Linked DNA regions of Drosophila melanogaster. The protein of the gene in region 3 purifies or fractionates together with the protein of the main gene of each other region. This does not show direct contact. Each region holds a gene or a part of one and is shown on either strand. Other genes may lie near its edges.

What was found.
Region 1: the proteins of CG11267 (region 3) and Nacalpha purify together in Drosophila melanogaster (affinity purification with mass spectrometry, with the first as the bait; one large-scale study listed by BioGRID). This does not show direct contact.
Region 2: the proteins of CG11267 (region 3) and Trx2 purify together in Drosophila melanogaster (affinity purification with mass spectrometry, with the first as the bait; one large-scale study listed by BioGRID). This does not show direct contact.
Region 4: the proteins of CG11267 (region 3) and CG14715 purify together in Drosophila melanogaster (affinity purification with mass spectrometry, with the first as the bait; one large-scale study listed by BioGRID). This does not show direct contact.

Annotation. Positions count from the first base shown.
Region 1 is NT_033778.4:12,756,726-12,762,622, reverse strand, and holds Nacalpha (nascent polypeptide associated complex protein alpha subunit), read left to right. Parts: upstream 1-1,623; 5' UTR 1,624-1,818; exon of another isoform or gene 1,819-1,822; intron 1,823-1,830; exon of another isoform or gene 1,831-1,896; intron 1,897-2,098; exon of another isoform or gene 2,099-2,101; 5' UTR 2,102-2,107; coding exon 2,108-2,761; 3' UTR 2,762-2,930; downstream 2,931-5,897. Other genes in the region: CG12374 (uncharacterized protein), read right to left, coding at 1-38, 101-237, 309-470; Dgkepsilon (diacyl glycerol kinase epsilon), read right to left, coding at 3,105-3,224, 3,280-3,597, 3,654-4,661, 4,720-4,878; ox (oxen), read left to right, coding at 5,194-5,325, 5,392-5,427; mRpL18 (mitochondrial ribosomal protein L18), read right to left, coding at 5,509-5,897. UniProt on the Drosophila melanogaster protein: May promote appropriate targeting of ribosome-nascent polypeptide complexes. Required for correct localization of the osk/oskar protein to the posterior pole during embryonic development.
Region 2 is NT_033779.5:9,609,258-9,619,050, reverse strand, and holds Trx2 (thioredoxin 2), read right to left. Parts: upstream 5,886-9,793; 5' UTR 5,676-5,885; intron 5,638-5,675; exon of another isoform or gene 5,619-5,637; 5' UTR 5,535-5,618; coding exon 5,511-5,534; intron 3,750-5,510; coding exon 3,603-3,749; intron 3,520-3,602; coding exon 3,370-3,519; 3' UTR 2,647-3,369; downstream 1-2,646. Other genes in the region: GlcAT-S (glucuronyltransferase S), read right to left, coding at 1,211-1,721; gcm2, read right to left, coding at 6,516-7,489, 7,549-7,639, 7,705-8,449. UniProt on the Drosophila melanogaster protein: Participates in various redox reactions through the reversible oxidation of its active center dithiol to a disulfide and catalyzes dithiol-disulfide exchange reactions. As a reducing substrate of peroxiredoxin 1, thioredoxin 2 is preferred over thioredoxin 1.
Region 3 is NT_037436.4:13,012,305-13,019,848, reverse strand, and holds CG11267 (uncharacterized protein), read right to left. Parts: upstream 3,800-7,544; 5' UTR 3,688-3,799; coding exon 3,685-3,687; intron 3,493-3,684; coding exon 3,331-3,492; intron 3,263-3,330; coding exon 3,116-3,262; 3' UTR 2,946-3,115; downstream 1-2,945. Other genes in the region: Icmt (isoprenylcysteine carboxyl methyltransferase), read right to left, coding at 374-661, 790-1,161, 1,229-1,468; mRpL20 (mitochondrial ribosomal protein L20), read left to right, coding at 2,087-2,173, 2,237-2,445, 2,500-2,656; MICAL-like, read left to right, coding at 4,712-7,544.
Region 4 is NT_033777.3:11,672,634-11,679,828, reverse strand, and holds CG14715 (uncharacterized protein), read right to left. Parts: upstream 5,609-7,195; 5' UTR 5,548-5,608; coding exon 5,401-5,547; intron 5,338-5,400; coding exon 5,068-5,337; 3' UTR 4,906-5,067; downstream 1-4,905. Other genes in the region: Taf12 (TBP-associated factor 12), read left to right, coding at 616-885, 957-1,277; CG18476 (uncharacterized protein), read left to right, coding at 1,813-1,944, 2,012-2,424, 2,480-3,386, 3,445-4,026, 4,098-4,874; CG42327 (uncharacterized protein), read right to left, coding at 6,367-6,601, 6,705-7,195.

The DNA.
Region 1 (5,897 bases), on a different chromosome or scaffold from region 3:
TCTGGGAATCGTCGCCAACAGAGGATTCATCTATCAATCTGCGAGGATTCAAGTGTAGATTTTTGTAATGTTATAACTCATCTGAGAATCTAGTACTCACTTCTGCAGATCGTCGACAATCACTTCGTAAACAATTTCGAGGAATTTAAGGGTCTTCTCGAGGGCTCTGTGGAACAAGGGACCAACGATCACATTGTATTTGTTTCCAACAGCACCCAGTTCGTTGAGGAAGTGCACCTTTAAATTGGATCAAGTCAAGACATACATATATGATTTTCAGAAATGGAATGGAATTTGTATGTACTTACAGAGATGTGTTCGTGAATCTTCTTAAGCTCCTCCATCTGCAAGTTCGTCTCAATGGTCAGCTGATAGATACGGAAGTGGTCGTACCGGGCGGCCATGCGACCAGGTGCGGACTTGGCCGCCACCATGGCCACAAGGGTTATCAGAAGGATTGGTAGTTTCATTTCGGAGGTTTGGTGTCTTGAACGTTACAGCGTTCACTGTGAGGAGTCCCTTCACAGTCGTGCTTTTTATTAGCTCCAGGAGTGGCCACTCAAACGGAACGTTATCTAATGGCGATAGGGGATCAGTCATCTGGCGTGTGTCTCCTTTGATCTAATCGCCCATCCAACCTACCACAAAGTAGCTCTGGACTTTGTCTTTCGAACCAGACGTGTCTAAAGATGGTTGATACACAAGAAAATTTAATTAAAGTAATTATAAAAAAGATTTAAGATATTTCAACTTGGCCAAATAAACTTATCCCGAAACATGACCTAATTTTTTATGTTGTATTGTTTTCGAAAGACCAGAGTATATGCAAATAACCTAATTAAAATTTAACTAATATTATCAATTTCTTAAGTTCATGTAAAAACTTATATCGAATATCCAAGTTACCTTTACAAATACTAGTATAAATGACAATAAACTGGTATCAAATTTTTCTCGGTGAACTTCCTCTAACAAAGTCAGCGGAGTCAAATTTGTAAGTGAAATCATGCACCGAGTGTGGAGGCACTCGCCTTATCAGGCATGTTCAATTAATTAAATACTCCTCCAGGCGTCTGCACGTGAAGGAGCACTTCGAGAAGCGTTTGTAGAATGCACTGGCAAACTGAAGATCGTCATCTTCAAGTGACAGACTGGGTGGGGAAGAAAAGCCGTCAAACATTCGATTGTGAAACCATTCATTCGTTTAATTTTACTATTTAAGCAGTGCAGTTATTGCTAGTCACTGCAGAAATTAATCATGCCACTGAGCCTAATCTGTGATGTTCCTTTCCTTCCCTTTGAGTAAGCCACTTAAAATGTTGCGGTGTTATCAATTTGTTTTTAATGTTTTTCTTTTATGTAAAATTATAACTGCATTATCAAAAACTAAAATATTACGTTAGTAGAAGATTGCAAGCAAAGGTGACCCAAACAGTGAACTACACCTTTGAAAAAATATTTAACACTTGCTTTGAATAATTACGAAAAAGAACTAGTTTCTTGGGATATTATTGCTTTTTAAGCTACTCCCATAATTGTTTATAGTTCGATTATTTCAGCAAGCCTTGATAGTCAAATTAAATTATAAATTTTTAGTCATAGTGCTTTACTATAGAGGTGAAAGATTAAAAATGTATTTTGAAACTGTCATTTTTTTGAAAGTAACGTAATTATGAAATAGAGTAGCCACAAAGTTTGAATTTGTCATACTTCATACGCATACGTTCACACTGACAGAATATATCGCTTGGATTTAAGAAAAATCGTGCTAAGCGACAGTCACACTCCCCTCCGCCATATTTCTTTTCTTCGTTTCCGGTAGGTGTGTGTACTCCGCATTTTTCGACTTCAATTTAACTTTTGCCGAAATATCAGTGAATTAGCGCCTTAAATTATGTAAAATATCATAGTTAAGAGTTAGATCTACGGGGGTAGCGAATTATTGATTTTCCAATTGAACTTGAAAAATCAATACCAACTGACCCCCGCTGAGACACATCGCTGAGCCTTTGAACCGGCACCAGATGTTTTCCCTTAGCATAATTGATACTATTTGCAAAGCAATTACCTAACCTCGTGTTCTCCACTTGCTTCCCCACAGATTAAAATGCCCGAACTGACCGAAATCAAGAGCGAGGCTGCGCCCTCCACCTCCGCTGAGGCGAAACCCGAGGACGTCCGCGTTGAGGATGATGGCAGTGATAGCGACTCCGATGGTGGCATGCCTGGTCTGGAGGAGGCTGTAGCGGCCACCACACAGCTGGGTGGAGGTGCCACCGGTCTGCCCATCGACCTCGTCTCAAAGGCCAAGCAATCGCGCGGCGAGAAAAAGGCCAGGAAGATCATGCTGAAGCTGGGACTTAAGCAGATCCAGGGCGTCAACCGGGTGACGATCAGGAAGTCGAAGAACATCCTGTTCGTGATCAACAACCCAGATGTGTACAAGAACCCCCACAGCGACACCTACATCGTGTTCGGTGAGGCCAAGATCGAGGATCTGTCGCAACAGGCCCAGGTGGCTGCCGCCGAGAAGTTCAAGGCCCCGGAGGCTGCTGGCGCTGCAGACAGCGTGGGCGCCACCACATCGGTGGCCCCCATTGCCGAGGAAGACGAGGAGGATGTCGATGACACCGGCGTGGATGAGAAGGATATCGAGCTGGTCATCACGCAGGCCAACACGACGAGGGCCAAGGCGATCAAGGCTCTGAAGAACAACAACAATGACATCGTCAACGCCATCATGGAGCTTACTATGCTTTAGAGCGGGCTTCAGCGTTAGCTGCACTCCTGATTTTGTTGTTTACCCGCCTTTCGATAATACTGACCCAAATGTTGTGCATGCCCCTCAAGGGGCAGCATGTTACACCAGTCGAACATTTAATTATATTTCAAAAGATTGCGTCTTAATAAAAATGGATTTATTTCAAATCAAATACGATTGCGTGTATTTTTCGACTAGTTTCGGTTTTCCACTAGGTGGTGTGGGTGTCTTTACTTGCCTTGCTAACCGAATTCGATTAAGTATACATTGAGGTTCCAGGTTAAGTACTTTGAGATTAGGGACTGGCACATAAGGGATTCTATTCTGTATTAGCTATTAATGTTCAGGTTGCAGCCAGCTTGAGGACGCGGGCCTGACTACGCGAGGAGAGGCGAATATCCGCTGGACTCTGCATCCAGGGTTCGCCATCCGCCTGCATTGGCACGGTCTCCTTGACTTGTAGCTAAAAAAAAGATTGTTGGTTAACAAATATTCGGTTCCATCACTGCAGGGCTTACCCTTATTTGCTTGGCTTGGCCAATTCGCACTGGTTTGCTTATATTGCACTGCAGTTGGGCAATGTGGAAAGAGGAAACAATGCCGAACACCTCCATCATACCATCGGAGATGGAGTTTACAATGCGCACTTCACCATTGGCGTTGCTTAGCTCGCAGAGCTTGCAGCCAGCTCCCCATGAGTCGATATTTAGGAACACCAGCGCCTGCAGCTCAGGCAGTTGCACTGGCTTGTTGTCCAGATACAAGGTCAGCTTTTCCTCGATGTGTTCGCAGCCAGGTTGCATCACCTGTTGCGTTCCGAAGGTAAAGTACAGCAGCTGACGAGATGGATACATTAGTTAACGTTAAGTAAGCACACTAGATTGTAGCCTACCTTATTGAATATTCGACTGCTGAGCAGATAGAATCGAGATTCGCGCGTCTTGTGGAAGTTGTAAGTGATGTACGCATCCACACCTACACTGAAATAGTTGTACACATGAATCGTCTTCGTGGGATGCCTCTGAATAGGCAGTCGATAGTGCAGTTTCTCTATTTGCAGGTCAAAGCGGTCGAGATTCACGGAACGTGCTCGCCGTATGCTCCTAAGGATCTTCACCGGGTCGAGAACAGAGGGCGGCTCTGCTCCCCAGCCCAGAACTCGCGACAAATCGTTGCCGGTGCCCAGCGGCATGATGGCCACCGAGGGCTGGGGCTTGATATTCAGCGTATAGATTGTATTGAGCACCCAACCGATGGTGCCATCGCCGCCCGCCACCAGTATGCGACACGGGCGAGGACTGGCTTTGGCGGCCCACTGCAGGGCGTCCTGCGGACCCCTCGAGCCCAGTTCCATCACCTGCAGCGGATGCAGGTAACCGCGGAGCAGGGACAACACATTGGCACCCGTACTGCTGCCCGACTTGGTGTTGGCGATCACAATAAGCGGCTCCCAGTTCTCAATGTCTGGCGGCGTAATGCTGGCCAAGTGGAGCCGCATCGAGTCTCTGGTTCGGGCGGCCACAAAGCTGTATGGCGGGAAGATCATGTCCTTGAACTCGCCCAAGTCGCAGGCTTCCATGGAGTCAGCGCGAGTGTAGCAATCGTTATGATAGCACCGCTGACACCATGCACATCGCCATCCGTATAATCCTGGATCGGTGCTGACATGGTGATCCACCTCCTCGTTGCAGTCGGCACAATGCACTCCCATAGGCAGATTGCCATGCACCCACAAGTGCCGCACGGAGGACTCGTTGCGCAACCACTTGTCCTTGCACCGGTACTCCCTGTCCGCCCTCCGCTGGCAAGGGGGCGTGGCATGGGTGCACAGGCCGCAGCAGTCGCAAAAGAGTCCTGCGGAGGGGGTTAGCAGGATCTCGCACACATTGCAGAAGCAGGCCTAGAATGAAGGGCATGTATCCTATGGTATCTCTTTCGCGGCAAGTGAATCCGCTCACCTGTTCCAACACTTTTATTGATTTCCAGCTGTGACGTGTTTTGAAGGTGCTCACAAAGTCCTCGGAAAGCAGGCTGCGGCAGAAGGCAAAGAGGATACTGAGGGCCAGCAGGGATCCTATCAGCGCCTCCACGCTCAGCTCAATAGTGCCTATGTCCATGGTCCACGCAGATAAGGCCCAATTACGCTAAATATCCTGGTAATTTGGCATATTCACAAATCGTTTGTTTTTGCCCCATCGACCAGTGTGACCGCTTCAAAGACAACAAAAAACACCTTCGACCTCAATTAAAAACACTTTTCAAGAATAAGCACTAATGCGTAATTTCGATAGGCGGAGTGACACTAGTATTTAGATTCAGGACGTTTCCAACACTGCTTGTCAACTCAACCTAACAAATCAGCTGTGAGTTTGGCGTGTGGAAAAAGTTTGATTGGGAACAAATCGGACGTCTTTAACAAAAATCTAGCCAACATGAAGGTTATCTACAACACCCTGTTCAAGCGCACCTCCACCTACGCCGTGGCCATCATCGCGTCGGCCTTTTTCTTCGAGCGCGCTCTCGATGTCACGTCGGTTGCGATTTTCGAGGGCATCAACAAAGGCGTAAGTATAATCCTGTTATGTAAGCAAAGTTTCCTGGCCAAATCTCAAGATTTCCCCGCTTTGCAGAAACTCTGGAAGGACATCAAGGGCAAATACGAATAAATTAACATGATTTGTTGTAATTAGCAATAATAATCAACGTTTATTCTAAACGAAACGATAACTAAGTGTGGTTTCTTTTGGTTATTTTGATTTGGGTGCTTCCAGTGCGTCTTCCGACACCTCCCAGGGCTTCTCATGCCTCTTCTCATCCCAGGGCTGCTCGTTGGGCAGGCGAGAGGGTTCCTTGAAGGACACCCCATTATCCTGAATGGTTTGAAGCAGCTTCTGCAGCTTGCTACCCGGTACCGCCTCCACGTTGCAGGTCATTTCCGTGATCCCAGACTGCAGGCAGCGCTGTGCGAGCACTCTGCCGAGATTTACAAACGCAGATGTGTCGTTGGTCTTGTACAACTGCTGTTTAATGGCCCATTCCGAGGTGCTGGCACTCAGGATGGTTCCATTCTCAAAGTGCTTGACATCGCCGCTGACATAGCGGCCGCTGGTGTTGATTTCCAAAGTGTGCCAGTAGG
Region 2 (9,793 bases), on a different chromosome or scaffold from region 3:
AAATGAGAGGCAAAAAACTGCTAAAAGCTTTTTTTCTTTGCAGAACTGAGCACTGCGCAATCTAGAATCTGGGAAATTGTGGGGAAATGTGCAATTAGACAATTGGTGCCACTCAAATCGCGCACTTGATTTGGATTTTCTTGACTAAATCAACCGTTGATTCGAGCAACAAATTCCGTAGATGAAGATAGATTCATGATTATTTTTTGTGTTTTTTTGTTTCGGCCAGCCCGATCATTGATCGCAAACTTGAATGGTCCACCTTATTGCATATTAGCCTTGAATCTGGATTGCCGCATTTTCGTTCTGCAAATTCAGCTGTATTTCGAGAACTTTATTAGCCAATAAACTCGTGAATAAATAACTAAAACATAGGCTGCAGATACAAAACAAATCTGTTACCTAAAATCGAAAAGGTTTGTCTGATTAGATTAAACCAGTAGGTTTAAAGTGGTCAAAACAGATTAACCTTTTTATGGGCCATTCAATAAAAATGCAAAGTAAACTGGAAAATTTGACCTTGTTCCGGCTTTCGCTCATTGCAATAAAAAACGGCCAACAGGCGAATCGATGTAATTGCCGCTGCATGCGCTTGTGGGTGGGCTACTTCCATATATTATATATATATATATATGTACATCGCGTTTGGCGAAGACAATAGTTACCAAATAGATCCAATTACGGTTAAATAATAAAAAGCCCAACCTGACTCACTAGTAGCCAAAGTCGGAACAGCGACGAGCCGACGCGTTTCACGCGATAATTACCGCATCCAATAACTTAGAAGTGAAGTGGTGCAGTCACATCGACTTATGTATGTATGTATAATGCTTCGATATCACGTGAGTATTATAAATAATAAATAAACTTTTTTCGGATACTATAGTTTTTTTCAGTCTGTATTGCCACTCAGTTGGCAAAGCGCTTTAACTGCTCAAATGTTCTTAGCTCTCTCTTCTTTCGTTAAAAAAAAAAGAACAAAATAACATAACAGGTAAAATTTGTTTTCTAATTCAAACAAACGTAGGGCGTTCACTAAAGTCCCCCACAAAACGTAGGGTGAACTAGGCTTTGATTGGCAGTGGGCCAAAATGAAAAGTGAAAGTGGTGGCAGAGTGGCCAATTCACTTTCGGCCAGCAGTCGTGAAAGAGCGCCGCCAACTGCATTTGCCCCCATGGGATGGAACTTTAGAGTACAAGCATGACTCACGGATTCTGGGATCGAAACGATGCCTATTTCGGATTTGCATTTGCTTGGTCGTTTGCTCTTCTATCTTGAAATTCCATTCATATTCGTAGATTTCTTGCGCTCTATGACTAAGATTCCCTGGGAACTCCTCTTCACCTGGATTCCGGTCATCCCCCTCGTGCTTGTCAGGTCGAGTATATCTCAACAGCCAGTCAGCCGGGCGGGATTCCATTACTGAGATCCGCTGCTTACCTAATCCATGGTGAGATCCCTCCTCCGAATCCTCGGAGCCACCGAGGCGAGTGTCCCCGCTGAGGGTGAGGTAGCAGAGGGCGACGAGGAGCAGGAACAGTGCCCCACCTATCAGGCAGATCCTCCTGGCCACACCCCCCTTCCTGACCATGGGATGTGGTGGATGGGTGGGGGTGGTGTTGTTGCTGCAGCTGCGTGAATGGCTCTGGTGAGGCCGCCGCTCGATGTCCTCGTTATCCTCGTCGGATGTCTGCGACTCGAGTAGCCTGGCACTAGACATTTATTGAAATATTTTGGGATACGATGGTGTAGGCGCTTTCAGCTGGGGTGGTGGTGGTGGCGATGGTTGTGGTGTTGGTGGACGCGGTGGAGCTGCCACAACATTCCCCGTCCATTTGTGGTGAGCCGGGCGTACCTCCTGGTTTTCGCAATCTTATTATACAACTTTCTAGCTGCGACCGACCACCCGAAAATTATGCAAATTGCCTCGACATCTCTGCACTTTGGGTGCTCCCCGTGCTCCGATTTATTTCCGTGCGCGCTGGTTGCTATAAAAAACCATCCAATGGCGAACTTTTGGCCGCAGCAATGCCGCGAATTACGAGGCGGAAGCACTCAAAACAGGACGTCACACTCAAAAATCACAGAAAATATTGCTTATTTCTGACCGACACCCGCGCGACTGTCTCTCACTCTCACGCTCTATTTTATTGTTTTCCACAGCGATGCAATTTCCCGACGTGTTGTTGTCACCGAGAGTCTGACACTACTGAAAAAAAAACACTACTGAAAAATCGGGCAATTTTCGCTCCCACCACCAACACAGCTGGCGCAGTGTTGCATTCGGTTTTTGTCCCCACTAAGCCAAGTATCGATTGTTCGTCCAAGCCTAACGGCTTATTTTCAAATGTTTAAAATAAATGTTGAATTAATTAAAAATAGTTTCTTAATTAATCACTTTGTTTTTATATTGTCTCCCATTTACTTTCGTTCTTTAACTTTATGGCAAGAATCAACTTGGCAACTTTCGATATGCTGTCAAACATAATTTGGACAAATTTAAATCTTTTGATATTATTGATCGCAAGAAAGGTACCTTTTACCTTATTTTCATTTTCAAATAAGTTCATTTATTTATTAAATTTTTTAATAATGCCTAGTGATATTCTATAGTTCAATCACGGATTCAAGGAAATATATAATTTGTTTTTGAATTTCGTTGTCAATATACATATGTAAAAATATATTTTTTGACAGATAAAAAGAGCCTTCTCAAAATGGAAATTTTAAAATTAGCTTTAATCTGGTGGATTTTAATTATGAAATGGCCATTTTGATCACGCACTTGATATGCCTTTGGAGTATACAAATTTGTTGCCGTATCTTATCTAATCGGTAGTTACCCGGTTTTAATCGTTATTACTTAACCGTAACGACATTTGTCTGCTTGTTGGCTACTGATATTTGACTTGGCTTTCATTTCACAACTTTATGTGTCATTCCTAGATCCGACCTCACCCCAGGTTCCCCTTCAGAATTTTGCAAAACAATTTAATCGGTTACAAACGGCGAGTGTGTAATACATTTATTGTTTAGCGTATTCTCTTGGACAACTGGCTACAACTGCGTTTTCTAATGTTTTTCATACAAAAATGAACAATCTTTGTGTGATTTATTGATTTTGTTAACAAAGCAAATTTTACGTTTAAAAGCCACTTAGTTTCTCACGTTTGTTGCTGTTCCAACTGCTGCCACTGCTGACCTTCACCTTGCGAACTGCACTGCAGCTCTAAGGGATTCAAGGACAAGGCGGAGCAGGCGGAATGGAGCAAAACCCTGCACTTATGGAATTAATTAATTAACTAAATGTTATGAAGAAAACTCATAGGTGGATCAGGGGGACGGCCAGACGTCTATGCGCTGCCCACTTAGATATTGGCCTTGATGACATCCTCCAGACGCTTGGCGTTGGCTCCGGCGAACTCTTCGACCTTGACGCCGTTCTTGAGGAACACGAAGGTGGGCATGCTGGAGATGTTGTATTCCATTGCAATGTCTTCGCATTCGTCCACATCGACCTGTAGGAGAAGGGCATTTAGTAAGGATTTCCATAAAAAGTGTTAAGCAAATAAAATAAAGCTGAGCACATTTTTAGATTTACCTTCAGGACGACGACGTTGTCGGCGAACTGCGTGGAAAGCTCAACCAGTTTGGGCGAGATCATCTTGCAGGGTCCGCACCAAGTGGCGAAGAAATCCAGCACCACCAGCTTGCCGGATGCCTTGGTCAGCTGTCCATCGAGATCGGCCTGCAAATGAAAATGTAAATTAGTACTATCTCTGAGTAATATCATCATACATTAGCGCTAATAATTTCCCACTCCCTAGAGATGTTTCAGTAATTTTCCCTTTAGCAGGTGGTGGTCATGTTTTCAAACTTTATGATTTCCGATTGTGGAGCATTGATCCGGTGCTATTGTAAATATACATATTGCGTTGGGGAGGCCCCGCTACTATCTCGCCCGATAAGCCTGTTCCCTGCAAACACAACGTTGTCAGACATCCCCAAAGTTGCCAAGCTGTAATCAGCCCCAATAATCGCCGATTGACGGGTTAAATATGTGTGTGTGCTTCATAAACTTGTGAAATCGGGTCAATTTCATTTCAGTTTCTGTATTGCACCCATTGGGCAGCAAAGCAAATCAATATTTAAAGAATTTCCAAATTATATGTATGTATGCCGAAAGGTGTGGCGGTCGTGGGCAGTTCCATCCCCTTTCTTCCACCCATTTCTCTGCCCGTGACACGTTTTCCCAATGACCTTTAATTAATTGCTAGCGATGCCAATCGCAGAACAGCACATGCAAGCACAGAGCTCTAATGAAATTGACGATTTCAATTGGAATGGGCAACCGGTTTGGAGGAATTTGCATAAGTATATGCCCAAGAAATTTAACTTTATACACGCTATTTTTGCTAGCACAAAACCACTTGATCATCCCTATTACATATTTTAATCAGGCTTAGATCATTTCTATTGCAGACACATACGTCATGGAATGATTAATCTCAAGATGGTGATGGTACTCGATGACTGTTGGCTACAATTCAATTTGTCAACATGTATTGCTGACTCATTTTTTAAGACAATATCTGAGTAAACATAAAAAACTAAAATCAGTAGTTAAACTACTTTGTTATATTGTCTAATTCAGTATGCATAAATGTTTTGATGTTTTCGTGGATTCCTTATGCCTTCGATAAGCATTTTTTGATTTTTGAGCTTATTGTTGTGTGGTTTGCTGTATAGAACTAGACCGCGAGAGTCAATGTTTGATAGTGTTTAAGTGTGTATACAAATATAAATAAACTAATATTGAGAAATAAAATAAGAAGGCATGCTTTCACGTATTTACTTCCCAATATTTCCTGACGTAACTTTGTATTCATGAAATGGAACCGGTTCTTCACCCCGCGCACTCGCGTCTTTTGTTTTCTTGGCTTTGGATCAACTTGCATGGCGCGCAACTTATGTGTGGAGAGCACACCCTGTGCTATAGCAACTATTCGAAATATTTCTAACCAAAAAACCAGGCCTCGACCACGATAATGAATTGCAAATTCATGCCAGTCGCACACACATCCGTACATATGTGGTTTCTATAGTACGTATATCTTGTTCGCACTATTTCCGATTAGCTCGGTCCGGAATATTTCAATTTCAAAATTCGGTTTCCGTTGAGACCCGTTTTGCGGTCCACGGGATGATATCATTATCATTTCGCTGTGCTGCTATTCGGAACTTTCTCGTTTGCTCTCCGCTTTCTCGCTCGTCTAGACCGAACGTGAGTTCCTTCTATTCGCGGGAGAGCGTATGGCAAAAAGCGTAGCGAATCCAATCATTCAAAGTAAGTGGCTAATTGGAATGCCGCTTCCAATGCCATATTTTCAAAGTCCGGAGCGAAAAAATAAACGTGTAACTGGAACTGAGGGGTCAAAGGGTAGCGCTATCGAGTTACCCAATAGATGACGGATGTGATGCGTCCATAGATCCGGTTGAAGTGACTCACCTTATCTTTCACCTGGTACACCATGTTGGATGGGAGATGTGGAGACGGAACCGGTAGAAATGTACAAAAGTTACTTAATTACCACTCGGGCAGCTCTTTGCAGCACAGCTAAATTTTTTACCAAAATGAGCACGTCGCAGTTGCTTTTATAGATTTTTTACTCACGCTCACGCTTCTCATTGCTATACGCTCTCTTTTTGCATATGTGTATGTCGCGTTTGGTGAAGGTGAATTTCGAATGGATAGACCGATTGGCACATCTATGCGATAGGTTTTGCTGGCCACTATGCGATTACTTTAAATGTGAAATCCTCTTGCTGAAGATAGCGATTATAACTTGTAGTACTATTCTCTTTAGTCTGGTTATGTCTGTGTGTCTGTGTCTGTGTGTCATTGTGAGTTTATCGTAAAGCAACTCTGCAGTAGTTCAGTTTCTTACCGGTAGGAGGCTTTTTAAAAAAAAACTGCAAGCCATGTAAGCGGTACAAAATTTGGGTCTTGGCAGCCAATTTGTTTTTCTTTAAATGTTTCCGCCAATTATAAAACATCATTCGTATTAAAGTATATCTTACTATCTATCGATTTTAAACTACAAATCATTAAATGCGTCCTAAAATTACTACAGTTATGGTTAAGTGAGCACCTGCTTGTCTACATTACATGGTTTTTACCATTACATTTTACATGGTTCTTACCAACAATTTTTTTACAGCGCGACATCTATCTCTGATTTCAAGAACCGCACCATCATGACCGCTGAAAATTAGCTATGTTTGAATTGGTCGCGCAATAAGAAATTATATTTACGCACTTAAATTAAATACATTTACTTTTACAAATCAACACTTTTCATAATTTATTTGCCGAGAAAAACAATTGGTAAACCGTTTAACACTACACGTACAGATGGAAATTAAGATTTCACCACTATTTTAAACACTATGTTACTATGCTTAGCTATCGACTATGAGTAATCCTCCGGTGTCCGGATTGGTTAAGTACTATTCAATGGGTGACCGATGGGGCTAGGCCTGTAGCTGCTGCTGGGTGGTGCAAGTGGTGGTGATGGTGATGGTGGTACGTCAGCGTGGGCGGTGGTGGTGGAGGCGGTGGATGGCCAGGGGGCGCGGCCACTGTCGGCGCAGTGGATCCTCCGGCAGTGGCAAATCCACCTGCTACCGCCATTTGTTGCTCGTAGCTGGTGTAGTGATCGTAGTAGCCGCCGTATCCGACTTCCAGGCCATTTCCGGTTGCAGTATTTCCTGGTGCCGTAGTAGTTCCTGTGTCGAAATAGCTGACTCCATTATAGCCACTACTGCTCTCGTAGTAGTGATGTCCCGCTGTCTGATTTCCACCGAACTGTTGGTGGCTCTGCTGCTGCTGGTGGTGGTGCTGTTGCATTTCGTACTCCGCCTTGGGGCTATAGTAGTAATCGTAGTTGTCCTCCACATACGGCTGCGTCTCCACGGTGGCATTGTACTTAATGGTGGGTCCCGGTTCGGCCTTGCAGCTGATCTCCTCCTGACCACCGCCACCACCCAAATGCTTGATCTGCGAGTAGTTGATGAACTCCGGTTCCGGAGTGGCCAGTTGCGGGCTGGAATCATAGGCTACTGCCTGGCATTGTGTGTGTCCGTGCACGGGAACACCCATCGCAAAGCTGTTCCCGCTGGAGGATTGCTGGTATGCGGCCAGTTCCGAAATGCTGCAGGCGTAGGGCAAACTGGGAGATTTACTAGGTGCCGCGGTGGCCGCCGCTGGAGTTGCATGGTAGATGGGATAGTTATAGGTGATGTGCTGGTGGTTGACCGTAAACACATTAGCTGCCGTCTCGCAGGGTGCCGATGACTCGGATCCACTTAGTGGCCAAGAATTGGTGCCGTAATTCGAGGATTGTGACAACTGATGGCTCCTCGCCGTGGTGCTGTCATCCAGGTAGCTGCAAGTGCAGTGGCTATAACCGGCGCACTTGCCACAGGCTAATGGGGGATACAAATTGTAAAAGAAATCTTTAAATATTCTTGTTTTATATACCTACCATTATACTGATATATATCCAATGCGGTGTGAGCCAGAGGATTGCTGACAGCAGGACGCTTAAGAACCTTGCTAATCAGACTGTGTTGTTGCTGTCGTCAGAGAAGAATGGTTAAGATGATACATCCCGGGTGAATGAATGTCTATCTAAGCTCACCTTCGCCTGCTTGACCAGACCCGCAATGACCGACTTCTTGGCGACTGATCCGTTGGCTGACTTTCCAGCCAGCGGCACACGTCCAAAGGCCCGCTTGGAAACACTGGAGTTCTTCGGATCCGGACGCAGGTGATCATGCACTCCCTTGGCCTGAAAAAAGATGGCATTGCCGGAGTGCCGCCAGAAGTGGGTCACCGGATAGCCGCAGTGACCGCGACACGGTTTAATCTCTAGTCTACCGCCACGACAACTTTTGTTGGGACACGCCTTGCCCTCCTGCTTCCGCCGGGCTTTGTCGCAAATGGCTGGGCGCAGGTTGATCTTGGATCCGTTGGGCAGGGTGCAGTGTTGGGAGCAGACCAGGACGCCCAGGCAGCTCTTCTTCAGAATGTTCACGTTGTGGTTGTTCGTGTTGCGCATGGCCCAGCCGGAAATGTGCTTCTTGGCCTCCTCGTTGTGCAGCGAATAGATGTGCCTCACATGCCCGTCGCTCCACTCGTTGAACTCGTCGAACTCCTGGTCCGGCACATGTGGCACAATGGCATCATTGATGTCCCACTCCCGTTTTCCCTTGCCCGTCGACGACGACGGCATGGTCATGGAGCCACCCGCCTGCTGTTGACCAGGACTTGGACCCGGATGCACCGAATGCGTACTCTGACTTTGGGGCTGGACAAACTGGGTAAGCTGAGAATGATCGGGTTGCTGTGTGAGAAGTTGCTGCGTCTTGAAGCTGTAGCCATTTCTGTAGAGGATTTTATATATAATAAGTTGCATTTTATATTCATAGTTAAGAATACTATATTATTATATTTGAATTTTGCCAAAGAGCACAAAACATACTTTAACTTGAGTTCAGATTTTTATATCACTTCTAGTAGCCACATAATAAAAAAACACCACTGCCCTTTTGGAATCTAAGTTAAGGCAAAACTGTGAGTCACAGCATTAACTTTTAAATCGAATTTATTTACATTAAAACTCTTTACATCGAGTAAAAACTTTAAGTGATCCATTTAACTGTGACTTTATCGCCAAAGCCTAAGCATCGTTTAAGGAATTGAAATCCTATCTTAATTGCGCCCTAAACTGTTTCGTAGGGGGCCATCCCAACCCAACACAAACCAATCAAATGAAACGTTTGCCAGGTTTATGGGCCTCATGAAACGCATGGTTATTTAGGCCCAGTTTAGAGGGCTGGTACCGTTAGCCCCAAATCTTGTGCACCAGGTAATCCAAGCTGGCCACAATCGTAATTCGAGCGCCAGTTGAGGAGGCGGAGATGCATATTAAACCGACACTCCGATCGTGAGTCAGCTGGGAATCGCTAGACTCGATGGAGGGCCTCAGCCGAGATTCTCCATGTGTGGGAGTTATTAGAGAGCGAGCTCTGCAATTAGCAATAAATTTGTCTTCCATCGATTTCGAAGCCGATGGATCGATTCGCCTCGGTCCCCTGAGTGTTTTTATGTGTACTTGGAAGTCAGCAGGTTGCACAGCATCTAGCACCAAGAACCACACACCAAATACCTGTGCTACGGTTCGCCTGGTGGTCTTTGGTTTCCCCCGATTGAACCTGTTCGTGGCTAGTGGCTCGCTTTGTTTTGGGTCCGTAAATTGACTGCTCGACACTTCGGGGCGCTCGTTAGTTGGGCTTATCTGATGCTGATAGCGTCTCACTTCGTTCGAGATCTGTATTTTTGGGCCTCCTCTGTCCAGGGCTCATAATAAGTTTGTCACCTAGAAAATATGTCTCTATAAATCGAAGGGGCCGGGGGGGCATCATCATCATCATCGGCTCTTTGACCCTTTCACTCGAGCGCCGCTCCGCCTACGACTGTGTGTGGTCCGCCGGTTTCCAAGATTCGAGATCCCCCTTCCGAAATCCAACATCCAAAATACGAGGCACACCCCGCGGCTCTTTGGAGCGGATTGGACTGGACCGGAGTGCCATTAACTAAGCTGTGGAACGCGCTCAGCGTGATAATAAAGCGTTTGAAATCATTTACATTTTCCCTGACCTCCCCCGCTGCCTCTTTATCGTTTGATTTGTGGCCCATTCTTCATCCGAGATTGATCTGAGGTGTTT
Region 3 (7,544 bases):
TGTCCAAAGTTACAACGAGGAGTCATCAGCAGATAAGATTATCAACAACGATAGATAGACGAGTTAAACATTAAATAAAACTTGTGAAACACGCAGCTGTTTCATTTGCTTGCTAATGCGGCCCATAAATTCACAATTAACCCAAAAAAGAAGATTAGATTATCAGTTCAGCAACATGCTTTGACTAGTTTATGAATACAAAACAACATGCTAAATATTAGAAAACTTATTTGGAAAAAACAATGTGCTTGTAAATCTTTTTTTTTTGCTATACAAAAGAGAACTGCTGTATACCTTGTATACCTAAACCTAAAATAGAATTTTGTTTTGTTTGCCATGGCGACTTGTGACATTGAACCCCAGATCAGAGGCACTAATCGACCAGATAGCCCCGGATGAAGGGCAGGCCCGTTGGCACCCGCTTTTGATAGCGCACATAGTCCGACTGGAAGAAGTTGAGCAGGGAGTACTCCTCGACGTAGATGCGATCGTGGAAGAACAGCCAGCTGACCAGTGTGTAAATGCATATGCAGATGGGATTCAATAGCACGATCTGGGTTCCGATGGACCACCAGAACCAGCCGACATAAGACGGGTGGCGGCAGTAGGCGTAGATCCCGCTTGTTATTAGCTTGTGTTCCGAGTGTTTCTCATTCTGGACCTGTAGGAATAGATGTGTGATGAGAAGTTTACAAGCTATTTAGTTAGTTTTAATTAATAATAGTGTGATAATTCCTTAAGTGCAATAATATTTATATGTCCATGTATTAACAAATCATCACGACTAACCAAGTGAGTGAAGCTCCGGCCAGCTGTGATGATGGCTGCCTTGCGAACCATCTCGCCCAGCAGGCACAGGACCACGCCCGCCACCCAAATGTATCCGTATCTCTTGAACTGCGGCAGGTAGTACACCTCTAGTGAGAACTCGATCCAACTGGCTGCCGCCGCCAGTCCATAGTGCACAGAGTGGTTCAGCATAAAGGAGTCGAGACTGAGAGTGCGCGGATTGGCAAAGGCGATAACGAGGAACTCCGAGTAGTGGAAAAGGGACATGAAGCATCCGTAGGCGCCAAATTGCTGCCACTCGGTGGGAGCAAAGCAGATGACCAGCACACTCACGGCCATGGCAAAGCCCAGGAAGGATGCCCTAATGGCCACCTGTGGTGCAAGAATAGTTAGCGCCATAGCACTGATAAGGTTTATCGCGTCTCATCGATTGACTCACCTGGTAGTCGTGGTTCCGCAGCACAAACCGTATGATCATGTTAATAAGGGCGTAGTACAAAAATGGACCCCAGAGGACGGCGCCCCACACCTGTGGCACCACTCCATAAAGATTCTGGGGCACCGAGGGAATCAGGACTAGAGCTGCAGTAATCAGAAAGCAATATAAACTGATGCGGCCTTCGGAACACAGGCTGGTGCCACCGGCCCCAGGAGAAGCCACTCGGCTCTTTGCACACATAACTGGGGAATCGGGATTCTTTTTGTGCTGCTGCTGTGCGCAAAAACACGGAAATTGAGGTTTTTTAAAACATTTGCTTGGTTTAATGCGCCAAAATGTAAATAAACCGGCAAAGCTTTCGATAACGATAGGCAGCACAGTGAATAACCGCTAAAGTATAGGCTCGTGATTATCATAGAAATCAGTAATATAATTCTTACAGCTTTTAATAAAATAAATCATAAATCATAAATTAAATTAAATAAATAAATATTTAACACCACGTTTAGCAGAAAATGGTTTTAAAAATAAATTATGCGGGCAATTCTCTTTAGCCTATACCCCCTGTAACAATAAGCGATAGTTATGCACTGTTACATATCGACATATCGAGTTCTGAGGATTTAATTTAATTTTATATAGTCAGAAAAAATTTAATAGTAACTTAAATGAATTACATTTGTAGGTATTCACCTATACCTTTTTAAATAAATTTCTTAACTGCACGCCTTGCATCGATATTTTATCGATAACATGCTCATTTTAGCGCCGTGCAGGTTATGTAAAATAACAAGTAGAGTCGTTGAGATCAATTAAAAATATATAAAAACTCGACCGATATTCTGTTAATATCAAGCCATGGTCTTCCTGAACCTTCCCTTGCTGGTACGGTCCCGTGGTCCGGACGAATTCTGGCGGAAGAGACGCATCTTCAAGCTGGCAGCGGTATGTTTCCGAATATCGTGGCCACAATAAAAATAATGAGCTCTTAGTGCTTAATTTCTGCAGCATTATAGAAGCCGCACTCGCAATGTCTACTCCTTCGCCATCCGGAGTGTCCATAGGGCACTGGCCTATGCCACCAAGGGGCGAAAGCTAAAGAAACTGGACATGGCGCAACTGTGGAGCACACGCGTGGAGGCGGGTTGTCAGCAGTATGGAGTAGGTCTGGAAACCTTCAAAGAGGGCCTCGCGCGCTCCGATATTCTGCTCAACAAGTGGGTACCACCGGAAAATTCCCATATCCTTTAACAACCTATAACATCTTTCAGAAAAGTCCTATCCGACCTCGCCATTTGGGAGCCGCGATCTTTTGAAGCTCTAGTAAAGATCTCTCGAGAGCGGGCAGCTGTGGAGGGAATGCCAGACATCAAACGGAGATCGGCATTTAACCAGGTCTATGGACTGAGCAACCTGAAGTTGGATTAACATAGCCTTAAGTAGGAGTTCAAATATAGATATTTGTATGTTTTAAACGTGTAATCTTTAATTTTCACTTTGAAGGGAGTAAAATCGTTTGGGATTTGTTCTTTAGATTAGTTTTTAACTCCGAATTCGTATTTACATTTAGTTACATAATTCGTAACTTCTGCTTGCTGAATGAAATTTGATACTAAATCATTAATTTATTTACTGCAACTACCTTTTCCGCGAATGAATCCAATATTTTTTCGAGTAAAATGACAAATGTGATTAATGACAAAACACCTGTGCTGCTAGTTTTAACAAGTAACTCGAAATTTATTCAATGACGGTCCATGCGCAATGCAAACAAAAATATTGCATGAGCTTTTATTGTAGTTTTTAGTTTCGGGTTTGTGGGTGTGTTACATACTAATAAAAAGCATAGAATTCATAGAATTGTGAGACAGTGTCCGGAGGCGAGATCTACTCCAATTTGGCCAGGATGTCGGACTCGCGGAAGAGGAACAGCTCCTTCTGGTCACCCTCTAGGTTCACCTTGGTGCCACCGAATTCGGGCAGCAGAACACGATCGCCCTCCTTCACGCCAATGGGAATGTGGTTGCCAGTGGACTGCGGATGAAGTGGGATGTTCAGTGATTAGATGACCATCTCTGCATTGATAATGGCGAAATACTCACGGCATTACGGGTGCCAGGGCCTACGGCCAGAACGGTGCCCTCAAGTACTTTGCCCACCGCTTTCTCCGGCAAAACAATGCCTCCTTTCGTCTTGGTCAGCGCCTCGGCACGCTGGATTAGGATGCGGTCCAGCATGGGGATGATCTTCTTGATAGCGGCGGCCTGAGGATCATTAAAAAAGACCCAACAATTAACCCATGTTTCAATGTTTCATGTTTCTCTCATTGATTACACAACAGCCCGGCGAATGGGATGTGGACCGAAAGCCGTGGAACCTTCTCGAAAAACCGATATCATCCTTCGATTTCAAACTGTCTTCTAAACCTCATATGGGGCAATGCACTTTTAACTTACCATTTTAATTCTTAAATGCAAACTGGAGCGGTTGATAAAAGTTAATGAGTGAACTTTTTACTCAACTACACGTGCCGGCGTAACTATTCTCGCTAGATGCGGGACTGCTTATCGTCGGTGTGACCAGGCTATTTCACGGATATAACATTGAGAAATAATTTTTTCTGTTCGAATACACTGAGAGAAGTCAATGCAAAAATTAATAGTTGTGTATAACTTTTAAAATGGTAATAAACTTTTCGCCAAGTAATTGCCGAGTTGATTTCCTATAAAACATGAAGATGAAAATGAGTCTGGTGGGTGGACTTCCATAATAACTTGTATACCAATTTCAGGAATTACTCCTTTTATATGCAATTTAAACATATTAATTTAATTTCCATTAATTTATAATAAACATGTTGTGCAATTTTCTGTTCTCATCTTTGTTGAGCTAAATAATCGTTTTTTAAGAAATTAAATCAGAAGCCCAGAAATCTTCTGGGCTTTACTGGTGTTTTAATTTTTTCAAATTTACTAATATTAAAATATAATATAATATAAAATAAACATAAAACAGAATTGTTTGTTTACTTCCTCGAAATTAGGTATGTTCAAACCAAGGAGTTGCTATTGATACTAGCGATTTAAATCGATTGACTCTGGCAGCGGATTGTTCACACTACACCCTGTTGCAAAGTGCAAGACAATAAAGACAAGCAACAAAATAATTGAAAAGTGTGGCATTCCTGAGAAAAATTAAAAAATTTCAGAATTTTCTAAACATCTTGTTTTTAAGAAGGGAAAATAGCACGAAACAACTATCGATAGCTGCTGACACTCCCACCACTAAATCTGATTGGGAGATTTATTTGAGTCACCGTTTTGCCTTGTTTACATTTAATGTAATTTGTACCAGATAAATCTTATTTGATTTTACTCAAGTCAAGTGGCACGATGTGCTTTTGTTGTTCACTTAGTTTACAGTTTGTGACTGCTATTTTCGTTTAGTTATATTCGCCAATAAGCCAGCAATTAACCCACTAAAATGTCTGATCGTCGTGGCACAAAAGTTGGAACTGGTACGAAGGCTTTGGAGTATTGGTGCCGAGTTGTGACCCAAGGATATAATGGGGTCAAGGTGGAGAACATGACCACTTCCTGGCGAAATGGACTTGCCTTCTGCGCCATAATACACCACTTTCGGCCGGATCTTATAGATTTCGACCGACTTAAAGCAGACGATATCTATGAGAACAACGATTTGGCCTTTACAACGGCCGAGAAATATTTGGGAATTCCCGCACTGCTCGATGCAGCTGACATGGTTTCGTATGAAGTACCTGATAGACTCTCCATACTAACGTATTTATCCCAGTTTTACAAGGTGCTCGGCAAGAGCCTGAAGCACCCGAAGCCAGAGGAGCCACTTGGCGAAGAGAGTGAGCCACCGCAAAAGGTGATGCACATTGTTGGGATGCCTCGACGTGATAAGTGCCAGAAATGCAACCTTCCTGTTTTTCTCGCCGAAAGGGTCCTTGTCGGCAAACGGGCTTATCATCGCACATGCTTAAAATGTGCAAGATGTTCGTCATTGCTCACACCCGGGAGTTTTTATGAAACGGAGGTCAATAACATATACTGTTGCGAGACTTGTCCCGATGAAGAAAGTGAACCGGAATCTGACATTTTAAAGTTAAAGACAACCACTACTGATTCTCCGAATGATAAACAAATGGTGGCACAAAGTTCTGATTACTCTGAAGCTGAAGATAAACAAGAAGACCTGGAAGATAATGATATACGTACTACTGATAAGCCTGAAAACTTCCAACCGCCGTCCAACAAAGATGAACAAAATAATGAACTAACTATTAATCCGGTAAACCCTATATTATCAGAGGAGCGTAAAATCTCTTTTATTCCACTAGACGAAGAAGATGGTGGCCTTATTGAACAATATAATAAATCAACAACTCCTGTAAAGCCCGCTATACCAGAGAAACCAAAAGTCTCTACTCTTCCACTAGACGATGAACAACATGCTGGCGTTGAACAAAACAATGATCTGGCGGTTAGTCCGGAAAATGACATTCCAAAAGAGAAACTTAAGATTTCTTCGGTCTCAATATATCTTGAAGATGACCGCCTTGTTGTAGATGCAATACATCCGGATAATTTAGATAAACAAGAAGCTTTGAACAATACATCAGACGCACTCATTCCAGAATCACAGGAAGCACCGATTCCTGAAAATAACACTCAAGTAGCCATTAAACCAGAAGACCATATAAGCCCGCGTAAAGAAAATAAAATTTTCTCAAACACAGAAAGCTGCTCTAAGCAGGAAGGTGTTCTCCCAAAACAAATGGATCTCGAGTCTCCCAAGGACAAGGTAATTGAGACAAAAGCATCTGAAACTGACTATCCAGAGGATCTAAATCCCTTTAAAGATGATGACTCATCTAAAGGTGCCAACCCATTCGACAGCTCTGATGATGAAGTGGAGCTTCTTAAAGCCATTCCAGCCCAACAAAGCAAAGGAAAAGTTGTACCGCCCCGTCCACCGCCACCTAAAATTGGCCTTTCATCCATCTCCAATCCGTCAGAGAAACCACATTCCAGCCCTACACTTTCGCATGGGAAAAAAATGCCGATGCCAACACCGAGAATATCTATATCAAAAACCCAGACTCCAGCAAAACCAATGACGCATCAAGGCCAGAAAAGTAGTATTTCCTCTTCGTCTTCGGAGCATTTGAATAGCATAAGAACGTTCGATCGCGGAGCAGATGACCGTGGCTCAAGCATCTCCTTGCCATCTGCAAATGGGCCTCGCAAGCCACTTCGCGCCTCAGTGGGGAGTCCGCTGCGAAGCGAAGAATCGAGTCCCACTACCAGTCTTAGCTCTATTACCTCTCCGATGCGGAAGAAGCGCCAGGCACCTTTGCCCCCAATACAAACGGACTTTGACAGTGATCCTGGATTTTCAAAATTGTCCGACGAACAAAAGGCATTGTTGCACACTCAGCTTAAGGCCCCAAATCTGGGTGATTCAACCAGAAGACTAATACCACTTGACCAGAGTCTGCTATCCGATGAGGCAACCGAGTCGAGTAATTACGACGAGAGCTTAAGTACATCCAATGCCGACGAGGAGGTAAATGTGGTATACCGACGCATTTTGGTGCCGCCAACTCAACCCGAAAACACTGTTGAACGTAGCAAGGAGGATCAAAAATCGCCTATCGTGTATAACGACTTCGATAGAAACGTAAGCCCATTGGGGCACAATAAATCCACTCATGGGAAATGGAAGAGGCGAAAGGGACCAGCACCAGCGGTTCCAATACCACCGCGCAAAGTCTTACAAAGGCTTCCGCTGCAAGAAATTCGCCACGAGTTCGAAATTATTGCGGTACAGCAGCTGGGTCTTGAGAAACAAGGCGTTATTCTGGAGAAAATGATCAGGGATCGCTGTGAGCGTTCCTTAGATGCCACCGATACTGATGGTCCCGAATCCGCAGAAGTGCTAACCAACTCAAAGGAAGTGGAAGATCTTATATTGCAACTGTTCGAGCTGGTCAACGAGAAAAACGAATTGTTCCGCAGACAAGCGGAACTGATGTACCTTCGACGTCAGCATCGCCTGGAGCAGGAGCAGGCGGACATAGAGCATGAGATACGAGTATTAATGGGGCAACCGGAGCACAACAAAACCGATTCGGATAAAGCCCATGAGGAAGTATTAATCAATCGCCTTGTGAAGGTGGTTGAAATGCGTAACGAAGTAATTGATAGCCTAGAGACTGACCGAGTTCGCGAGGCGCGAGAGGATATGAGCATCAAGAATCGGCTTCATATATACAATTCTGAGCGCG
Region 4 (7,195 bases), on a different chromosome or scaffold from region 3:
ATATTCCTTATCTACGTGATATTTGCAAAATACGCCGTCTTTGTTTTGTTTTGAACTCCACGCCAGTGTGGCTGTCTAACTAAAATATACTGAAATTAAACGTAAATATACCAAATTGCTTTATAGCACCAGCGGGCATTTCAGAGTCGCCTGCAACTGGCCATACTGTTGATTTGGCTGTAGTTGCTCCGCTTATTTTTATTTTGTTTAGTAATTTAGGAAAGTAATAGTTTAAGATCAAAGTGTTAAAACCGCAATAATTGTAAGTGTTGCATGCGCTAAGAGCAACTGCTAAGTAACACTTTAGTTTTAGTAAACACACAAAGCGACGGATTCTTAAGACCGCACGCGTGAAATTGACCACTCTATTCTTTTACTTACATTTCGCTTTGCAACCAAACACCCACGCACACACAATCACCGACTGCAGTTGAGAAAGCAGGAGGACACACAACATAAGCAGCAACAACAACAAGTACACTAACGCTTTTGGCTTTGGTTCTGCACTCTTACCCACTCCCCAAAAATCCGCCCAACTTACTGTACTTTCCCCAAACACTTCCAACCAACCGACCTACCACCCACTTGATTTGACTCTGAAGAAACCCAAAAGCAATGTCGGATCTCTTTACCACTTTCGATAGCAACGGCGTCGCCGAGCACCACCTGCACCACAACCACAACTCCACATCGTCCGCCAGCGGACTGCTCCACGACCCACCCATGGCCTCGCCCTCCCAGCACAGTCCGATGACCAACAACAGCAACTCATCCTCGCAGAACGGCGGACCGGTTTCCGGTTTGGGTACGGGAACGGGCCCCATATCTGGTGGTAGCAAGTCATCCAATCACACATCATCCGCCGCCGGTTCCGAGAACACTCCCGTAAGATGCGTGCCTTATGGAGTGCACACGGAATACGCCAGGGTCTAGTTTAACTCTCTTCCGAATTACAGATGCTTACCAAACCGCGTCTCACAGAGCTCGTCCGAGAGGTGGATACCACCACGCAGCTGGACGAGGATGTTGAGGAGCTTCTGCTTCAGATCATCGACGACTTTGTCGAGGACACCGTCAAGTCGACGAGCGCCTTCGCCAAGCACCGAAAGTCTAACAAGATCGAGGTGCGCGACGTGCAGCTGCACTTTGAGCGGAAGTACAACATGTGGATACCCGGCTTCGGTACGGACGAACTGCGTCCCTACAAGCGGGCAGCTGTCACGGAGGCGCACAAACAGCGCCTTGCCCTCATACGGAAAACGATCAAGAAATACTAGAGGATTGGATCTAATCGGGTCGAGGCTCTGTTTCGGTTTGCCGGATTTCGCGTATGCTAAACGTGCACACGCCACAAACTAATTTAAGCTCCAATTTAGATTAAATAACAAATTATCGTCGCTCTATTGTAGATTTATTGTAATAAAAGTGCACTATTGATTTCACATTCAACAATTGGTCACCGTCAGCAGTAAATTTTAAGTCGTGATTTTTTAATCACAGTTTCTAATGGTTCTGTAATATTTGTATTAATTGTTTGTCTGGTGGATATTGATTTATATTTTTCATAATTTAACAATTTCTTCAGTTTATTTTAAAAATATTTGTGTAATATTTCCCTTTGAAAATAATTAGCGGACTCTGCTGAACGCACCCAATTAATTGCTGTATTTTTTAACAACGTGGTATTTTTTTAATGACCGAACGGTATTTTCCATCTCTCGCATCAAGGTCATACCATCAATAATGTTGATTTTCTGATTGTTGATTTAAAATTAAAAAAGCTTTCAATTGGCCAAAACAAATTTGTTCGCCATGAAGCTGCCGGTGATTTGTCGCACGTGCGACTCCACGGACACCGACAACCTTCTGAAGCTGGCCACGCCCTCGAAAAAGTATCCGGACAAGTTGCTTTCGGAGATTTTATGCGAGCTAACCGAAATCAATGTAAACAAAGTTCTAAGAAGCGAAATCTACGAAAAATGCAAACTAAAATGAAACATTTACCTTTCAGCTGGATGCAACTGGTAGTCAGAAATTTCCGCAATGCTTGTGCAGTGGATGCACCAAAAAATTAATGGGTGCCTATTGCTATGTGAAGCAGGCGATGGCCGCCAACGAACTTCTAATGAAGCATCTAAAGAACGGTGCTGCTCCAACGTCAACCGACTGTCTGCAGGAGGCGCCGATGGAGCTGTGTGCTGAGCAGCATGTGGAAGTCAAGCTGGAGACTGAGGATGAGGACTGTGGCGAAAATGATGTTACTATCACTTGTTCCGAACTACCGGAACCGGACGAAACGGACATGGAGAGCAAAAAGTCGGTGGACCCACTGACCATGATTGAAACGGTGAAGCTGGAAATGGAACCCAGAAGCGTGGAGAAGCCAGCGTATGACGATCCCACATCGGACTTTGAAGACGAAGAGTGGGTGACAATTGGAATTTCCCAACTACTTTATTTTAACTAACTAATCTTGCAGCTCCCTGGATAATTTGCCACTGTATAATCGCATTCAAAAGTGGAAAACAGGAAGAAAGTCTGTATATAAATGTCACGACTGCCCTAGGAGTTTTAAACGATTCGACTTCTTGAAACGCCATGAAATGCGCGTCCATAAGCCAGAAACTCGATTATATGACTGCTCCCTTTGCATTCGCAAGTTCAGCCGCAGCGAAGCCCTCGAAGCACACCTAAAAATTCACCGGAATTCAAAACGATCGGCCAACATTAGCGAGCACAAGAAGGCCAAGGCTGTGGATTTGAATCTCTGCAAACCGCATGGCTACAAGCTGATTGAGTGCATGATCTGTCAGAGCCAATACAACAAGATTGCTGATCTGCGCCGGCATTTGGAGGAGCACCCCGATATTGTTAGCCTGTGCGGTCGGCCAAATATGGAGCCCCATGAGCTGGCAGAGCTGTTTTATCCCGATTCAAAGGACCTCAGTGAGGAGCAGTTAATCAACTTGATTCGCAAGGATCTAGCGGCGGGTATCTATCAGCGTTTCTATTCGATAACGAACCAAAGTGGCTACGAAATGGATCTGGACAGCTCGGAGACGGACAGCGACCTGGACGGAGATCACGATGACCAGCACAAGAGGCGAAAGAAGTCGCGCAAAGCCACCTACAGCTGCGAGCTGTGCCAGCAAAAGTTCCCGCGAAAATATCAGCTTTATGACCATCAGCGACAAAGTCACAGTTGGTCAGACGCTCCTCACGTCTGCGGGCGATGTGATGGACGTTTTGTAAGTCTGCAGCTGCTGCGCCACCACAACGAGTCGCAGTGTAGGAATGCACAAAAGCGATTTCTCTGCCACAAATGCCCGCTACGCTTTCGCTGGAAACACAACCTGAAAACACACTTCCGCGAACACAGGATTACAGTAAGTTAATCTAAGAATTGTTCAGGCTACAGACCCATTGCATCTATGAATTTTACAGAATCAAACGTTTGAATGTTCCGAGTGCAAACGGGTCTTTGATAAAAAGAAATCCCTCACCGTTCACCTGCTTAGCGTACATGCGGAGGAATCCAAGCTGATTCCCTGCCAGTGGTGCAGTCGCAAATTCTATCGGCACGACTACTTGGTAAAACACTTGAAGCGACACGGTTTGAAAGAGCATGACATTCCCTTGGCAGAAACATTGATTGCTGCCACCTCGCGGCCAAACGGAGCGAAGCGCATTACTTGCCGCATGTGCAATCTGCATTTCGAGCGTATTGTTGATCTGCGAGCCCATATCCAGTTGGAGCTTAAGCTATCCCTGTCGCTACACCAGAGCTACGACTCCCCGCATAATTATTCAATAACAAACGAATCTGGCTTTGAGCTGCAGCTGGAGGATTCGGAAACCGAAGACGAGATGCAGCCCGGTGTGGGCAGTCGCCCCGTATATATTTGCGAGCTGTGCAGCGTGCAGTGCAAGCGGAAGTTCGAAATGATCCAGCATCAGCGGACGATGCATCGCTTTGACAAAATGCCACACGAATGCGACGACTGCATCTTTAAATGTGTCTCCAAGGTGAGGTTTTAAATGTGTATTCTACATTTAACCAGTATAGATACATTATGTCAATTTCATTATTGCTTCAGAGCATTATGGACCACCACCGGCAAGGTCAGTGTAGTAGTACAGAAAAGAAGCATGCATGTGGCAAGTGTTCCTACAAGTTTATGTGGCCAGAGAACCTAGAGCAGCACATTCTCCTGCAACACAGCAAGTCTTCCGTCAGCAATCCGACTGGCGACAGACACACGCAAGGGACCGGTGACCTGGAAAAGGATGCCACTGAGGACGGAATACCGCTGCTACAGTGTCCACACTGCGATCGCACGTACCAGATGAAGTCGCGCCTGAACAATCATATTCGCGATGTGCACATTAACGGCGACCGCAAGCGCAAGGAGGCAATTAAGCGCTTCCTCTGCTCCCTGTGCGGAATGGAGACGAGATCAGCCGCCGCTCTTGTGACCCATATGCGACGCCACACTGGCGAGAAGCCCTTCAAGTGCGATCTGTGCGAAATGGCCTTTCCCCGCCACTCAGAGCTGGCCTCGCACCGCCGGATGCACACCGGCGAGAAGCCATTCCACTGCACCGTCTGTGGCAAGGACTTTGCCCGCTCCGATAAGCTCAAGCGCCATATGCTTACGCACAGCGGCCTAAAGCCGCACAAATGCACCTACTGCGAGAAGAGTTACCGTCAGGCCAAGGACCTGAAGCTTCATCTCCAGCAGCACACCGGCGAATGTCCTTTCGTGTGCGGCACCTGTGGCGAGCGCTTCATCCAGAGCAGCACGCTGGAGAAGCATCGGTTGATGCGGCGTCACTTCGACGAGGTGGAAGCGTGGCTGAGACGCCAAAAGTAAGGGGCTCTTGCAATAAATACAATTTGGTCTAGTATAAAAGGAATGACATTATTATTTATTGGTCGTGGCGTGGCATCACTTCAGAAACAAGACAAATTACTACTTTAAATATTTGAGCATTAAATGTTTATGACTTTAGTTGAAAGTAAACTTTGGGTGTAGCATGGAATGCCTATTTGTGGCCCTATTCGCTTTACAGCTCTTCAGATCCAGAGCGCGGTTCGATTTTTACCAACTCCGTATCGAAGACGAGCACCGCATTGGGGGGAATCTTTCCGCCACCCGCTCCACTGGCTCCGTATCCCAGCTCAGGCGGAATCGTCAGCTTTCGCTGCTCACCCTCACACATACCAAGGATTCCCTGATCCCAGCCCTTGATCACCTGCCGAGCTCCCAGGGTAAAGGAGAAGGGAGTGCCGCGGGAGTAGCTGCTATCGAACTCTGTTCCATCCTGCAGTGCTCCCTAGAATGATTCCAAATTCGGGGTTAGGTCGGCTAGAGATCTTCCTTATCTGATTTCCCTTACTCTGTAGTGCACGTGGACGAGATCGCCGCCCTTGGCCTTCCGGGTGCAGTTCTCCACCCGCTTCTTAATGCCAATCTTCACTTTCGGATCGCTGGCAGCGGAGGCGGCCACAAAAGCGCAGATTAACAAAATATAAGTTAACTTCATCTTATCGAAAGCCAGTATCAAAAAACACTCGCGGTTTAGTGTGACCAGAGATCTACAATAATTTAACTTGTTCCCACTGCACACATAAAACCAAATAAATATAACAACTCAAATAGTTTTCAACGAAATTAAGAGATTAAAACTTGTTTTTTTTTTTTAACTTTGAAAAAATTAGTAACCAAAAGAAATTTTATGTAAATAAGAGAAAGATCAGAAGTGCAGTAGTATCGGTTCATAGTTAAAACCCAATCAAAAAAGGTCTCACTTAAATGCGAAGCCCGCGAAATTTAAAACTTCAAAAACCACTGCTGGACATATTTTTTCTTGTAATTTACAATAATATGAGTATAGTACAGCTCGGACTTAAAAATAACTTACGTACATTAAAGCTCATTTAAAATAGATACACACATTGTTTGATTACATATTTGACTTTCTTAAAACAAGGAGAGCTCCAAATAATGATCATTTGCTCCGGATTATATGGCCCCGAAGCGCGTGACAGTGCAAAAACAAAAATTGACATTATAAATATGCAACAGATTATCAGGAGATATACGAATGTACGATTATATCACAATAATAAAGGAATACATACAATTTAAATGATATTTAAAGCCCGACATACAACGAAGCCTACGCTTAATTAGGTGCCAACATTCAAGCATAATACTAATTTACACTAATATTTCGTATAAAACATAGCTACTATTATTACAAAGGGTCCCATTGATCAGTGCTGTAAGGGTGAAAGGTGAACTCAATCGCAAATTCGGTTTCCACTCGATGGGCTCTGCCGCTAACACTGCCATCTGGCTTTCAGTTGTCATTGGACAGATTTGTGATCTTGGCCGCATACATGCTGGCCACCTTGTAGATAAATTCATACTGCTCCTTGGTCTGTACGGCGCTGGCACGTCCGCGTCGCACGTAGTAAACCAGTTGGGGGATGTCCACGGACCGCTTCGGTGTTTCCAGACTGCGGATGGCCATGTCCGACGCTATAATGGTACCGGTTCGTCCCGTGCCTGGAGAACAGTGAACGGTTAGCGGTCTGCAGGGGGAGAGATGAAGAAGTTAAGACACAGAACATTAAAAAGCCATGCAACACACAACAACTGCTTTGATATGAATGGATGGAGATTATGTCAACCTACCCCTGCTGACTTCGTGTTCCGCTTCGACTTGAGATGTTTCCATTAATCTCGTGGCTGGACGTGCTGCCCGCCTCGGCTTTGCTGCCGTCCGCATCCATTGACGTCTCCAGGGTCGCGGACTTCTCGCGCAGCTCGTTGGCCTGCTCAAGGGAGTAGGACTTCAGCGAGGATCGCGCTTCCAGCAGCATGGCGATGATGGGCGCCTCCTCGGCCGGTACACCCGCCTCAGGCCATTTGTACCAGTAGTGGGTGAGCTCACGGCTCTCCTCGCCATCCACTCGCTTCAGAACCAATGTGGAAATGGCATAGCGATCCTTGACTTCGCGATGCTTGAGGGTCACCTGGTAATCGCCATAGCTGCTATGATTGTCCAGAGTCGCCGACGGTGGCAGGTACTCGGCGCACCTCTCAATTCCGTTCTCACTGAGATCCGTCGCCTGGATGATCACCCGCGACTGCTGTTCCCAGATCATGCGCCAGAAATCGCTGGT